Linked DNA regions of Daphnia pulex. The protein of the gene in region 2 purifies or fractionates together with the protein of the main gene of each other region. This does not show direct contact. Links are inferred from orthologs where the notes say so. Each region holds a gene or a part of one and is shown on either strand. Other genes may lie near its edges.

Region 1 (6,911 bases), on a different chromosome or scaffold from region 2:
GAAAATGATCAACAATGAACGCATCTTGGAAGACTAATGAATATGCCGACAGGTGAACAAGGGCCTTTATATACCAAATGGTAGACAGCGATGACATGGCAACAAAACTTGGTTGGGAAATCCAACGTCGCCATACCAAGGCCAGTCTACTTTCCAATATTATTTGTGTTGATTGTGCAATGCATGTTTTGTTTAACTTTCTATCGCCAAGCGGAAGGTAAAATGATAAGCACATTAATAAGACGCACCAAAAACATTTGATTGCAGATTTGGTTATTCCTGCGGTCAGCGCCATCTATTGGTTGGTGGTGATTGGAGGGGGTGGGACTTAGGCTTGACCTAAGGTCGACTAAAACTGATGGAAAATTCGCGGGAAAATGGCATAAAGTGCACCGGTGTGTCGCATGTAAGAGCTCTCCAACTTGATTTCCTGCAATGAAATGAACTTTTAACCAAACTAAAGTTTGATTGATCTTTCTTTTAATAGAAATTTCTAGTTTCAAAGACAACTTTGATAAGTTAAATAAGCATTTGCCTTGCTTCTAAACTGGTGATAGCCATTTTTATCATTGTCAATGTTTCTCAACATAATCTCAAAATGTCTGTTCTATTGTTAATTTTTCAGCATCTACCTCGACTTTTAATTCAACTTCAACTCTACCCCTATGTAAAATTATATTGGTTAGTATTACAGCTCATTATGTAAGTGAAATTCAACATTTCAGGCAGCCTACGTTAGCTCATGTGGTTCCCAAAACAGACAAAGCAATAATATGAACACATGCAAGTACTGCTCACACACTATGTGAAATTCTTTGTCATTGATTGTTGAATATTACCATTTGATGAGATTTAGCACCATTGATTTGGATGCAGCCTTTCTCCTTGCTTTAATTTCGGTTTTCAAAAAATACTTGTCAGTTTGTTTGCTCTGCAAGTGGACACTGGACATGGAATTGTACCAAAATGTGTATTCTTTTTATTTCAGATCCCTTCTTGACATCACATGCAAAGTTTATTTCAAGAGATTCTACAGTCTACACTACGTCAGCTGTGTCCATGTGCAGCACATCTTTTACTATTCCACAAAGGCAAATAACTCATCTAATTTAAATCCATGGCATCTCAATCTCCCATCGGTTGTTCTTCTCAATCTTCCTTCTTAACTGTTGACAAAAAACATGAGATAGAGATGGATAATCTTCAATATCTGGCACCTGCTTCCATTCTAACTCCAAGTCCTAGTCCTTTATTGATGCCAGTTGATTCAAATTGGATGACACCCTCAGAATATCCTGTTCATTCATCCTCTACCCATATGAAAGCACAGTTTACTCGTGTAGCATATCCGAATTCACAGGAATCTGTTACGAATGTTCCACCAATTCGAGAAGTTGTAATGCCAGATCGTTACTCAGCAACAGCAATGGAACAAGAAGTGATGATGGAGACCACTTTCCTTGAAGACTCCATGTCCAAGAAGACCCCTGATTTATCTGATTGGCATTGCAGTCCACCTTTTCAATTTGAGGATGTGTCGGAAGATGTTGACATCTCTAACAAGGATATGCCATTTTCCCATTTCACGGAGAAACCTCAAATACCTAACGTGAAGCTCGAGTCGCCCGCTATTTGTGAAGACATTTGTTGGGAAGGCAGCGCATTTGATCCACTCGATGACAGTCGTCTTTGTTTTACCCATTTCCTGGAACCTCAAGATGTCAAAGAAATGGATCAAGAAATGGAAATGGATCCATTATTCATCACCACTGTTGCACCAATTGCACCTCCATTTCTCGTTGCTCCCGTCCTTAACCCACCGTTAGCCGCTGGGAAAATAACTGCCAATCCCTTTCTTCTTTCCGATTTTCCCGAAACAACAACACCTCTTCAAGCAAAAAAACGATTGATCGAAACCAATGTAAGCCAATCTCCCAGAAAATTAACAAAAATGGCCCCGCATGTTATGCCTGTGAAAGTTGAATTACTTCAACACAATTCGCCGGTTTGGTTGGTGAAATCTGAATTCGAGGAATCCAGTGTCATTGATCCCGACGAGATTCGACTGCTTCCCTTCGCACCTTCACATTTGGAATCACCACAAGAAGCTACTACAAAAGTCCCATTGAGTCGTCCTTCTACATCTTCGGTACCAAAGTCAAAAGTTGACATAGACGTGGATGAAGAAGGTAATTTATTCGCCACCATTCGTCTGATTGCCCCATCGCCTTCCATCACATCAAACAAACTTAAGGCATCAAAGAATGTTAACTGCAAAAACAAGAGGACTAGTAATCACTTTGGGCACTCTGGAAAAAATCCATCATCAAGGTTAAGCACAAAAAAAGAAACAAGAGCCAAAAAAGAGGACCCATTTTCTGTCAAGAGTCTGATGGCAAAGTTCATTGAAGCTGCAAAAAATAAAAAAATCTCCTAACTTTGATAACTATATATGATAAAACTTGGAGTTCCATGTTTATTTCAGATTATTTTAGTTTATTTTTATGTGTGCATGATTAGTTCGCCAATGTGGAATGTGATGACTACTGAAACCCCCTATCCCCATATTCCCCTTTGTCTTGCGTTTTTTGTTTGGATCCTCGTTCAAGTAGTCAGTTTCGCGTTGAGTTACAAACGAACCGGTATCGCATCAAAATGTTCGTCATAGCTTTATCTCCCAAGATTTTATACACTGTGATGAAACCTTCCGAAAATTATTTTGTAATAGTTCATTGATATTTTGTTTGTAAAACAAAACTCGCCATTATTTTTTGTAACCCAGAAATTCATCGTATCAATAAATACAGATGCTTGTATGAATGATCGCCTCCGTTGTTATTTTTCTTCGAACGGTTGATTTTATAACATACAATGAAATAATGACTAACAAAAAAAACAGCAATCATAACTTTGACAGAAATATTCATCATGCTGCTACCACGTCTTTTAATGTCCTATTAATTAATTTATATACAGTGATGCTTATAGGAATTTCTTTCTTCTTTTAAAAGGTAATTTCATTTGAATTAAGTGCTACTATCCTTTTTATTAACACATTTAGCATTTTAATCTCACACAAAATAAATATATTGTTGATTAAAAAATTAAAAAACATCATCCCGTTAATAGGCCTGAATGAAATTCAACATTAATAAATTACATTCAAAGCTTTAGACAGGCTTTAGAGAAATAGAGAGCTACAGCCCTGCTACAGCCTACTTTCCATTTTCAAATTCCAACCGTCTTTTTTTCAAAGAAAAGGAAAATATTCCCGCCGTTTCTCCTAGTGAAATTTGGCAACATCTCGCTAGGAATTTTTTAGAGCCACCCATTTTCAGCCAGCCTTTACGCTACCAGAATTTTTAGAGACCAGTTTGGTATTAGAACCGCGCGATTGTGAACCTAAAGCTTAAAACCGCCGGTGAGTTAGATTTATCTTCGAATATTGTCCACATCCTTCATCTTTTCGTTGTTTTAAGTAAGCAGTAATGTTTCTTTTGCCAATCTCTTTTTAATTCGGCATGGAAAGTATTTTAGTCATCATAGTTATTTTATTCTGCATTTTTCAAGTTGTAACCTCTAACAGTCATCTTCCTCCATCAAAGACAACGCACTAAGCTAGTCAGTGGCGGTAAAACTGTTCTGTGGTAGTTGTTTGAAATAGTCCCTTTTTTCTCTTGACATTAAACATTGACAGTTAACTTGTAAGTGTTCACGAGTGTGTAAATTTTTAGAAAAATATATTTTGTTGTCGTTAGATTAAGTTCCAGTAAATTCTTGTTGAATGACGCAATCAAGTCTGATCGATTCACTTATCTTTTCTCATTATTTGTAGGATTTACAACAGAATGGCTGCCGAACCTGACATGCCCACTTTCAAGCTGGTCTTGGTTGGCGATGGTGGTACCGGAAAAACCACTTTCGTTAAGCGTCACTTGACTGGTGAATTTGAAAAGAAGTATGTGGCCACACTTGGTGTGGAAGTTCACCCTTTGGTTTTCCATACAAACCGTGGAGCCATCAGATTCAACGTGTGGGACACTGCTGGTCAGGAGAAGTTTGGAGGTCTCAGAGATGGATATTACATTCAGGTAAATGTCAGCATACTTGTATTCACATGGTCTCGACTGACTTTCATTTATCTTGCAGGGCCAATGTGCTATCATCATGTTTGATGTAACCTCTCGTGTCACCTACAAAAATGTTCCAAATTGGCACAGAGATTTGGTCCGAGTTTGTGAAAACATCCCAATTGTTCTTTGTGGCAACAAAGTTGACATTAAAGATCGTAAAGTCAAGGCCAAATCCATTGTCTTTCACAGAAAGAAGAATCTCCAGGTATGTTAATTGTGCTACTAAATTGTAAATGCAATTTGCTAAATTTTGGTTTCATTTAGTACTATGACATTAGTGCCAAGTCAAACTACAACTTTGAAAAGCCTTTCCTCTGGCTAGCACGTAAGCTAATTGGAGACCCTAACCTAGAGTTTGTTGCTATGCCTGCTCTGCAGCCACCTGAGGTGCAGATGGATCCTAATTGGCAGAAGCAAATTGAAGGTGAATTGGAGGAAGCTCAACACATTGCACTACCAGAAGATGATGAAGACTTGTAACATCAACATATTAGGATTTAAGCCACTACACCCTCCCACAAATTTTTCCATCTGTGTTTTCTGCCTTCTATCTTAACCAATTTTTATTTGCGAGGTATGAAAATACATTGTGCGTCATAATACAAAAGTCTTTCGAATTTTTGTTTATTAGTGCATAATTTATTTGCGCAAGGGAAAATATACAAAGTAGTAAAGTTAAGAAAAATGTAGTGAACAAATAAACTACTCTCTAATGAAAACATCGATACACTCGCCACCTTCAAATTCCAGACTAGACGGTGTGTCATCTTCTTCCAACATTTCGCCGTCAAATTTAAACTTCAATTTGGACAAATCAATCCCGGTTGCTTCCGCATACTTCTGCATCAAAACTGCCATAGGGTCTTCGGGGCGCATTGATATAACCACTTGTGCATTCCGGTTCTGACTCTGAACCTTTAACTCCAACAATGTTTCGTTGGAGCTGACGACAACTCCTTCTTTGCAGACTGAAGCATCTGTTAAAAAAAAGCACTGTTACAACGTTCGCTAATACCAAACCCAATCGTCCAAAGTTTTTACATTGGAAAACCAATTGACTTCATGCCAGGGTTGCTAAAACCGATTTATGACGCTGAAATGGACTGTAATTTGAATGACAAGTAACATACCAATGATGTCTGATATCCCAAGTGGCACTGTTTTGAGACTGTCATAGTCATTCAGTAGTTGATCATTGAAATATAGAATTATTTGTCCAGCATCCACATCAGTGATCTCTGATAATTTCTGGCAGATGGTTTTGAAATAATCAGCCTGAATAATAGTAATAATAGTAAAAATGTAGTGGACTAGTTATTGATATGTTGGATGTTGAAGGTTACCCTTTTGATTTCTATCCTCCACACTTTTTGGGCAATGAAGCGAACTTTAACTACCACTATTTCATCACCATCAAGGGTCTGATTCAATTGCTGCACAAAAATATAGAAATATATAGGCAAGAGAATATAAAAGATTATTTACCAAAACCATTTTTCACTTCTTACCGAATCATTCAACGAAGCACAATAGAGTGGGTCCTCCTCACACTCAATTTCATCTTGTATTGCTGCAGGTACTTTACTGAGTTTACGTGATGTAAGATCTTCTGAAAATGACACTTCAGGTGATATATTGATGCAGTCTTCTATGTCTTCTAGAGTTTCCACTTGTCTGTCTGTTTCTTCGTGAACTTCTGTTTCATCTAAATCAACTTCTTGAATTTCTCTGTTTGGAACTCTAAGTACTTCTTCATCACTACTTTCATCAATCTGCTGAACAGGTGTTGGTGATACGTTTCCAGCTGAGGTAAAAATTTTGGTCTCTTTTTTGTTGGCAAGATGCGGTTTTCCTGTAGAACAAACTGCTTGCTTTTCTTTTTTAAAACGCTTACAAGCCCCCGAATATAAAGAACTAAAGTCTTCGTCTTCGTCTGAGTAGTCGGAATGTTTCGCGACAGACATGATTCAACAGCTACAACGTGGATATAACTTGCGAATTTACGATGGAAAACAATTGTTTCAACTTACTAGATAACTAGAACAAGTGAAGAGAATCAATAATTCGCTTGCAATGGGTTTGATATTCGTTGACTAAAGCGTGAATAAAAAATTTTTGTTACGTCTCTATCTTACTTCAATCTATGTTTACTCGTCCAGACTTGTTAAATTAAAAATGCAAGGACCACTTAAGTACTAGGCCGGTCATTGAGCTATTCCATGGCGTAACTTTTTTCTATCCATCCATCTGAGTTCTGTCCGAAGCTAAGAGATGGCGTATCTAGTACGTCACGTACATTTACATTAGGCAATATTTTTATGCATATCATTATTTTGGAAAAGTAACGGAATTTTATTCTATTATTATTTTGATCCAAATAAAATGAATCGCTTGAACCTTGAAATCAATCAGTTCAGAATTTCACATTTCAAGTACAATTAATTGCCGCTAGATGTCGTTTCCCCTCCAGGTGGCGCAAATCAATGGCCAAATTGACAATAGAGCAAACCAACGCCATGGCAACCTCGCGGCGGCCATATTATGTGAACTTTCACTGTGGAGTGTGGGCGATGTGGAGTGTTCTTACGGGTTTTGGTTAACTAGGATTTACTTGTTAAATAACTAAAATAAGTGTCATATGAAAGATGTTGATTTCAACATTTATGGCTGATTAGTGATTACAGTGAGAAGGGCCTTCCCGCATTCCATTTCCAGCACGTGATCGATCCTGTTCGAAATATACTACCTGGCATATTCGATCTAATGCAACTCGCCGAT
Region 2 (7,882 bases):
CAAGGCGGGGGAATGGGGTTCAGTAGGCCCGCTGGTCGCCTACGTTGAACTTTCCTCAATTGGCAGAAATGGCAGCTACGCGTCAGTCGTCGGGCTGTTTTTGTAGCACCTGGCCACCAAAACCGTTGTAGGATTCTCTCTATAGTTTTTGTTTGGCCTCCGTGGCCACTGGACGGATCAACATGACACGCCCTCGCGACTTGGCCTCTTAAAAACTTGGGCACGCAAAGAAGCCATGAATGCCCGCTTTTCCTTTTGTTCCGTCGATACAGGACTTGCTTTTTAAGTCGGAAAACGTCTTGGGTTTGCGGGGATCTTCCTTGTAGCCTGTCGATTGCAGTCTTAAAAGTTCGGTCTGCATGTTGCGCCAGCGACAATTCTTCGAGGTCAATTTTGGTAGGGGAAAAACAGGACAATTTTGGAGGGGCTAGAATACCAACCAGGGGATCTCGTGACGGTGCGGCGGAAGCAGGTGAAAAAGGGGGTGTGCAAGAAGTTTTCGCAGCGCAACATCGGTCCCTTCCACCTCGTGCGGAAGCTTGGCCCAAGTACCTACGAGGTGGAAGACCTTCCATCCCGCCGAACGGCCACCAGGTGGCGAGTGTTCAATGCCCATGTAGCCCAGATGAACCGCTACGTCACCAAACAAGGCACAGACACGGAATCATCCAGCCAAGCAAGCCCGGAGGAGACGGATTCATCGCCCTCCCACTCATCGGCCCAGTCGTTAGACGAGCATTCGTCGTCAGGCAGCGACTCATCATCTAACGAGGAATCGTCGTCTTCCCATTCGCCCTCGGTTTCGAGCGTTTCCGGACCGTCTCCACAGCGTTCGTCTCCGTCATCCGACGACTATGTCGTCTTCCGTTTGTGCAAGTTTCAAGTAATTATTGATATATTTGGATTTTTTATCATTTTTAAAGTAGCATACACTTTAGCTTGGAAACATATGGCGAGAGCGCCGATGTTTCCAAACTTTATATCTAGCACTTTGGGGATAAACTTCAATTCACTATAAAATCTACAAATATCAAATATCATGGTGAAAGGAAATTCTTTCCCCACCAAGAAGATTTTTTTAAATTTGCTTTGCGATAGCTCAAACGTGAGTTATCGCGTAAAAAAGGGAGACACTTTGGTCCGTAAGCCGCCGTGTTAGAAGCGCGGAAACACTCGCCGTGTTTCCAAACTTTGTGTAGGTACTGTACATATTATATTATATTTTTTCCTGAAACGGTGTCTGCGGGTTTTCTTCGGGTTTTTCTACATTAGTTTCATTTTCAGAGTCAGGATATATGTTACACAAAAATAATAAACTTACTTAAACTACTCCACCTTTTTCTAAGACTTGCTGACATACTGGCTTTCCCTTTCCATTCATCCTTCCCCTTAAGGTAATATATATAGCCAATCAATCATAAAACATATGTCAGGATGGCCGAGCGGTCTAAGGCGCCAGACTCAAGCAGGTGCTTGCCAAACTAAAACTTGGTAAATAGGAATTCTGGTCTTCGATAGAAGGCGTGGGTTCAAATCCCACTTCTGACAATCATTATTACAAGGAAATATTTTTGGATGGCACGACGGAGAAACAAGCTGCATACAAACCAGCTTCCTACCCTAGCCCAGCCTATCCTTTCGTACTCCTCATACAAACCTCTGCATACAAGCCCGCATCCATATCTCCGGCTTATCCGAACTACCAAGTAAATATCATATCCTGGCTTCTTGCTATAATTGATACAAATAAAGAAATAAAAGTTTTAAATAAACGATTAGTCAGAGTTTACTAGCAGTAATCTTTTTTCTCCCTGCGTCGCTTAAAAATGAATTTATGCGCTACGGCCGTATGGCGTCGCTGTGTCGCTGTTTCTGAATCTGATCAAATTAAACCAATAATTGTTTATTTGAATAGAAAATTTAAAAAAAAATAATTCCATCTTTTGCGGACTGATAAAGAAAAGGGATCGAGATGAATGAACTACACACAGGTTGGGATGAGGAAGTGAGTCGGATCTAAAGTTTGTCCTAGTTGGATATTCTTTGTCTAATTATGCTAGACTAAGGTTACATGAATTATCATCCAATTGAATCTCTTGAAAAATAATAATGTCCAATCGAGCCAGATTTGAGCAGACCGACCAGAATGTGTAGCCTAATAGATAAGGTGCCAGTTTATCTTACTTATAGATGTTAAGTTATTTAGAAGTTAAGTTAAGTTAATTTTGTTTGTTAATTAGTTCAAAGAGAGACTATTTGCCGTATAAAGAGACCGTGCACCACGATCAGATTTATCGTATATTATATAGTCCCTATTTGTAAATTTATTCCTCGAATATGATTCGTTTGATCGAATGTTTATTGTTTAATCGTTTTGAACAGGGTTTTCAATGAACCAAGTTGATGAAAATATTGTATCTTGCAATTTGGTTGACGTATCACGTAAGCCTTCCCTTTTGAATATCTTAACTCCACTATAGCCCCAAAAGTGATCAGAATTGGAAACACTACCCCTCAGCCCCTACCCTTTCAAAAAAAAGAACCGCGAGTTATTACAATTTAAAAAAATTCAAATTGCTTTGATAGATGGCGTTCACTTGTCACAAGCAGACAGGCAGTGAGGCACTCAAACAGTTAGACATTTCATAAAATTTCGACCGGCTTTGGCTTTGCAACAAAATAAGGTTGAAAGTGCGGTGTGATTTTCTATCCGAATATTACATTGATTATTGAAACTGATAATGGCAAACGTTCCTGATCCTGTTGAAGTCTTGGTAATTTTAAAATACATTTTTTTATTGTTTTCTTTCAATTCAACCAATCTAACTTGTAACAACAGGACTTCAAAATGAAACAGCTGTGTAAGTTTAGAGTCACTAAAAAGGAATATGATGTACAGGACACCACATCATTGCTGGCTACTTCTAATTTGTTTGGTCTGATCTTTGTTGGGACACCTGACAAACTTGTTGTCATCAAAGTTTCAGATCTTATACAAATTGACAATACAACATCAAAAAAATCAGAAATATCATCATTTCCCATCAAGGAAATTCTTTTACCCAACAAACCTAGTTTTGTAACACTGAGCTCTGATAATCTTACCTTAATGGTGTGCCTTCAAAAATCTGGATGCTCAGTAGGTTGGATGTATGATGTTCGTGGATTTGCAAGACAGGTATGATTTAAGGAATTTCATTTTGTGTGATTGAAACAGATTTAAAATCTTTTTCAGTCAGGTGAATGGAATCCCTTCCAGGAAGTCAGGCTTTCGTCTACTGATGGAGTTACTGTGAAAGATTGTGCGTGGAACCCTGTTATACCAACTCTAGTAGCTGTCTGTCTTAGTGATGGCTCTTTAGTTGCAGTGGAGATCAACAACACTCAATTCACTATAAATAGCCTTCCATCAAGTACAGGAGCCCAGTATGTGAATATCCTATTTTGTATGTATGTTATTTTCTTAATTTTATTGAATTATTAGGTCAGTCTGTTGGAGTCCCAAAGGAAAACAGCTAGTTGTGGCCAGGCCTAGTAAACTAGTTCAGTATAAGCCTGATTTAAAGGAAGCCAAGACTATAGCGTTTAGTGGTAGCGATGTCCATATGACTCAGCCAATGGTTTGTGGACTTCAGTGGCTTTCTACAACTCAGTTCCTTGTAACGTTTGTTGATCAAAATGAACCCAATTCTCGTCCCCACCTCTACATAGTCAACGTACAAAAATCGGGGGCAACAACTTTCATAGATTATGACGATGTTTGCTACGGAAGTCCGTCTGAAAGACCACACAGGTATACGAATTTTTTTCATTTTATTATCAATATAATGAATTTTGTTTCTTTTTTAGTTATCTAACATTGAGTTTATCCCCATGGAATGTGTTATTGGCTTGTTCAGCTAACGCAATAGAAGTTGCCGTACTAGCTCAAACAGGAGCTGGAGATGCTGATCACCCTGAATGGAGGCAATGGGCACTAGAAGGTGAATGGCGAGCTGAACTACCATTAAATGAGAATGCTGAGACTAACCCGTTGGGAATGGCCATCGATACCACTAGCCAAATTCCAATCAGTTGGGATGACAATCAAACTTTACCGCCCGCACCCATTCTTTTCATACTCAGCACTCATGGTCTGCTTTGCCCGTTTCATGTTATCAATCTAAAGAACGGTGCTGCCAAATTCAATCAGGCTCCTCAAGAATTGTCGGTCACTGGTGAGAGACCAGCGCTTAGTGGAATTGGTCTCAAGGCGGCTCCATTAGCAGCTTCCACTCCATTACCTGCTGCTGGTAAAATTGCATTTCCTAGAACAAATCTTGGAGAACGATTTGCTGCATTTGCGGATGCTCCTTCCTTAGCAGTCCCAGTTACAACGAAATTACCTTCAAATCCGCCTATTTCGGACTCGTTTTTGGGCAACAAACCCCAACTTCAACCTGCCTTACCTTCAGTGACGAAAGTTGCAACTGCACCTGTTGTACCAGCTGTGAAGATAGAAGCGGTTCCGGTTGTCCCGAAAGCTACTCCACTTACTGTCAAACTTACAAGTCAAACTCCAATCGCAGATGAATCTAACATCCATTCATCCATGGGCGCTGCCGCTGCAATATTACGTGACGAAGTGGCCAAATTCGTTCAAGACTTGAAGGAATTCAAAGCTCGTTCGTTGACTTTGAAAGTTACGATCGCGAGTGATGAGGAGAAAGAACGATTGTTAAAGATGACATCCGATCTGGCTGAGTTTGGTGTGGATCTGGTCGATACTACCAAAGTGCAAGACGAAGAAGTTCGAGGCTTGTGCACTGATTTGGTAGAAGTTGCCGCCCTTTTGGAAGATGCCCGTGTTCGACGTGCTCGTCGCAAAAATTCTCATTTCTGTCATTTGCTCAAGTTACGGCCTCTAGATCCAGGCAATCGCAGAAAAATGGACGGCATTGAGCGCTTGCACGTTCACATAGAACAGCAGCTTATAGAAGCTTCACGAAGCCTAGATTCGATTAGCAGAGACCGTACTAGAGACACCCGCAAAATTGAAATCCCAATAACTCAGGTAAGCTTGTTTTATTATTATTATTACTCTAAAATATTCAGCATCCTATGATTTATTTCATCTCAGGTTATTTATGAAGCAATTAGAAACAATACGAAAGTAATATCACAGTTAAAATCTCGTGTTGAACGAATTATGGTTCAGAGCAAAGAACAGCAACTGAAACTCGCCGGTGCAGCCTTCGAAGCTTTAAGGTATTTGCCATTCATAAATTCACTTAATTATTGAATTAATTGTGTGTTCTGTAGACCAAAGAGTGGTGATGAGTCAAGAAAATGGGAGTCTGAACTGGCTGTTCTGGCTGATTCTCTTTTGTCGTCAAGTATAAGAGGAGAAGGGGAAACTCAATCACACCATCCTGTGATCCCACAAGTATCACCTGATAAACAAGCAATGTTAAGGAGTGTATTAGCGCATAGACCGGTAGCTCGGATTCGAGCCGTTCGCCCAGAATCAGTTGCAGAATCACGCTTGCTGTCAAATCTCACCGGTTTCATTCACGGTGAAGATAAGAAAGATACTTCTTCAGTTAGTCCTAAGATTTCACAAGCTCCTTCCAAGACCATATTGCCCACTGTCAAAAGTGTAAGCTATTCGACGCCACAGGAGATTAAATCAGACCTGCCTATGCCTAAAATGGGGTTACCCGATCATGGATTCAATGCTAAGGTCTCTATGGCATCGTCTCGAGTGGATTTTGCCAAACCTACTCCACGTCCGCCCTCCGAGGTCGAAGATGTTACTCCGCCGTCTTCACCAGTTAACTTGGACCAAAAGGCCAAATCTCTCGGCAATCAGCTGATGATGAGCAGTTTGAGTTTACCCTCGCGCGCTCCCGTAACTACCGTGGAAGATACAAAGCCGGTGTCTAAAATGGCCGATTTGAAACCAGTCGTTTCTTTGCCTACTTCGCTTCCACCACCTTACGAGCCCAAACCTTCTTTCTCTTCAGTGCCCACGTCAACACCTATGCTTTCGTTTGGTGCTCCCAAGAAAGACCTAAACTCACTCGGATTAGGATCGACCAGTTTGTTCGGGAAATCTTCCTTTGGTTCCGCATTTGGCGCTGCTGCATCCCCTTCTACGACTATTGCGGCTGCATCATCTAAACCAACAGCCGAAGTTACATCACCATTCTCAACTTCAGGAACGCCGGTTACCAGTGCCGCAATACCGGCTACGTCAGTTCAGCCGCAGACAACTAAGGTTGTTTCTACTTCTTCGTTTGGCTTCTCTGCTCCACCAGCTTTATCAGCCTCCGCTTCAACTCCGTCACTGGTGGCATCGAAACCGGCAGAGCCAGCCCCGACTTTAAAAACAAGTTTTTCTTTCAAAGAGCTTTCATCTCTCTCTGGATCTGCAGCTCCGGCTTCCATTACCACAACAACCGTGACGCCGGCTGCAGTAACACCTTCAAGTTTTACGTTTTCTTCTACCTCCCTAACACCTTCAGCAGCAGCAGTAACCTCTGCTATCGCCGCTACTCCCTTGCCGATTGTAGCGCCGGCTTCGACCACTTCCAACACTGATGATTCAACTACCACCGTTAAACCGTCTGTCGCACCGACAAATTTCTCTTTCAGTTTGGCTGAAACTCCTAACAGTTCCAGTACCAGTGTACCAGGAGCTACTGCTCCTTTTACTTTTAATCTCTCTGGAACCGGTTCAGCTACTACTAGTTCCACACCCACAGGATTTGCAGCACCTTCTTCCACTCCTGTTGCTGGGTCATTGTTCTCTTTGACTCCATCAAATAAAGCACCCGTCGCCTTTGGTGTAGTTAATACTTCAAGTGTGTCCAGTCCCTCAATCTTTGGTCAAGCAGCAGCACCCGTTGTCCCAACAACGACACCAGCGGCCACATCTGTCTTTGGCCAAGCACCACCTCTAGTTCCCGCGACAAGTACCTCCGATTCAGGCGTGGCAACTTTATTTGGCCAAAGCAAACCAATCCAGAATGTATCATTGACTACTGCTGCCCCTGTCACTCAATCCGCTCTTGGACTGGCAGTTGCTCCCACTAGCACACCTTCCGCCTTGTCGCCAGCACCAGCCACCACCACAATTTTTGGTCGTCCATCAGCAGCCCCTGGAAGTTTGTTCGGTCAGTCTGTAACGACTGCCGGACCTTTCCCATCTTCCTTCGGACAGATTGGGTTTGCCCAGCCTACTTCAACAACTTCGACTACATCAAGCACCTCAGTCTTTGGACAGTCAAGCTTTGCCAAACCAGCTCAGGCTAGTGGAGTACAGCCGACTTCATCCTTTGGTTCACCCTCCGTGTTTGGGCAATCAAGTGGTGGAACACCCAGTGGATTGTTAGCAGGGAGCGTTTTTGGACAAGGTGCGGCTCCAGCAACAACCGCGATCAAACCGCTGTTTGGGGTATCTACATTTGGACAAACATCTGTGAATGCTCCTACTTCTTCAGCTCCAAATGCCAACCAAGGATTTGGTGCCGGTTTGTTTGGTAGCATGGGACTCGGTGGTACCCCAACCTCTGCCAACGCTAACCGCAATGTTTTCGGCGGATCGTCTGTATTTGGTGGTGGCACTCCATCTGGTAATTTAACATTTATGTGTGTTTATTTTTTCATCTTCTTACGATTAAGCTAATTTAAGGTCAAGGAACGTTCGGAGCGACTTCTGCGCCATCTTCTTTTGGTGTTCAACCTACTACTGCTGCTCCAGCTTCTTCGTTTGGCAGTACTTCACCGCCAAGTTTTGGAGGCTTTGGACAAGCCCAACCCGCATTCGGAGGAGCTGCGACCTTCGGTGGTTCCCCGCTATTCGGAAGCAAACCGACGTTTGGTGGTGGAGCAACATTTG

What was found.
Region 1: the proteins of nuclear pore complex protein Nup214-like (region 2) and GTP-binding nuclear protein Ran purify together in Homo sapiens (affinity purification with mass spectrometry; 3 studies listed by BioGRID and IntAct, counting the BioPlex papers as one, with this or other methods). This does not show direct contact. The link is inferred for Daphnia pulex from reciprocal best matches to the Homo sapiens genes NUP214 and RAN.

Annotation. Positions count from the first base shown.
Region 1 is NC_060020.1:1,356,808-1,363,718, forward strand, and holds GTP-binding nuclear protein Ran, read left to right. Parts: upstream 1-3,268; 5' UTR 3,269-3,421; exon of another isoform or gene 3,422-3,478; intron 3,479-3,606; exon of another isoform or gene 3,607-3,704; intron 3,705-3,835; 5' UTR 3,836-3,848; coding exon 3,849-4,091; intron 4,092-4,149; coding exon 4,150-4,338; intron 4,339-4,397; coding exon 4,398-4,613; 3' UTR 4,614-4,750; downstream 4,751-6,911. Other genes in the region: uncharacterized protein LOC124192239, read left to right, coding at 1,118-2,437; NFATC2-interacting protein-like, read right to left, coding at 4,836-5,110, 5,264-5,408, 5,477-5,566, 5,642-6,097. UniProt on the Homo sapiens protein: GTPase involved in nucleocytoplasmic transport, participating both to the import and the export from the nucleus of proteins and RNAs. Switches between a cytoplasmic GDP- and a nuclear GTP-bound state by nucleotide exchange and GTP hydrolysis.
Region 2 is NC_060027.1:5,446,005-5,453,886, reverse strand, and holds the start of nuclear pore complex protein Nup214-like, read left to right. Parts: upstream 1-2,589; 5' UTR 2,590-2,741; coding exon 2,742-2,774; intron 2,775-2,839; coding exon 2,840-3,178; intron 3,179-3,235; coding exon 3,236-3,426; intron 3,427-3,484; coding exon 3,485-3,793; intron 3,794-3,849; coding exon 3,850-5,053; intron 5,054-5,119; coding exon 5,120-5,247; intron 5,248-5,301; coding exon 5,302-7,616; intron 7,617-7,675; coding exon 7,676-7,882. UniProt on the Homo sapiens protein: Part of the nuclear pore complex. Has a critical role in nucleocytoplasmic transport.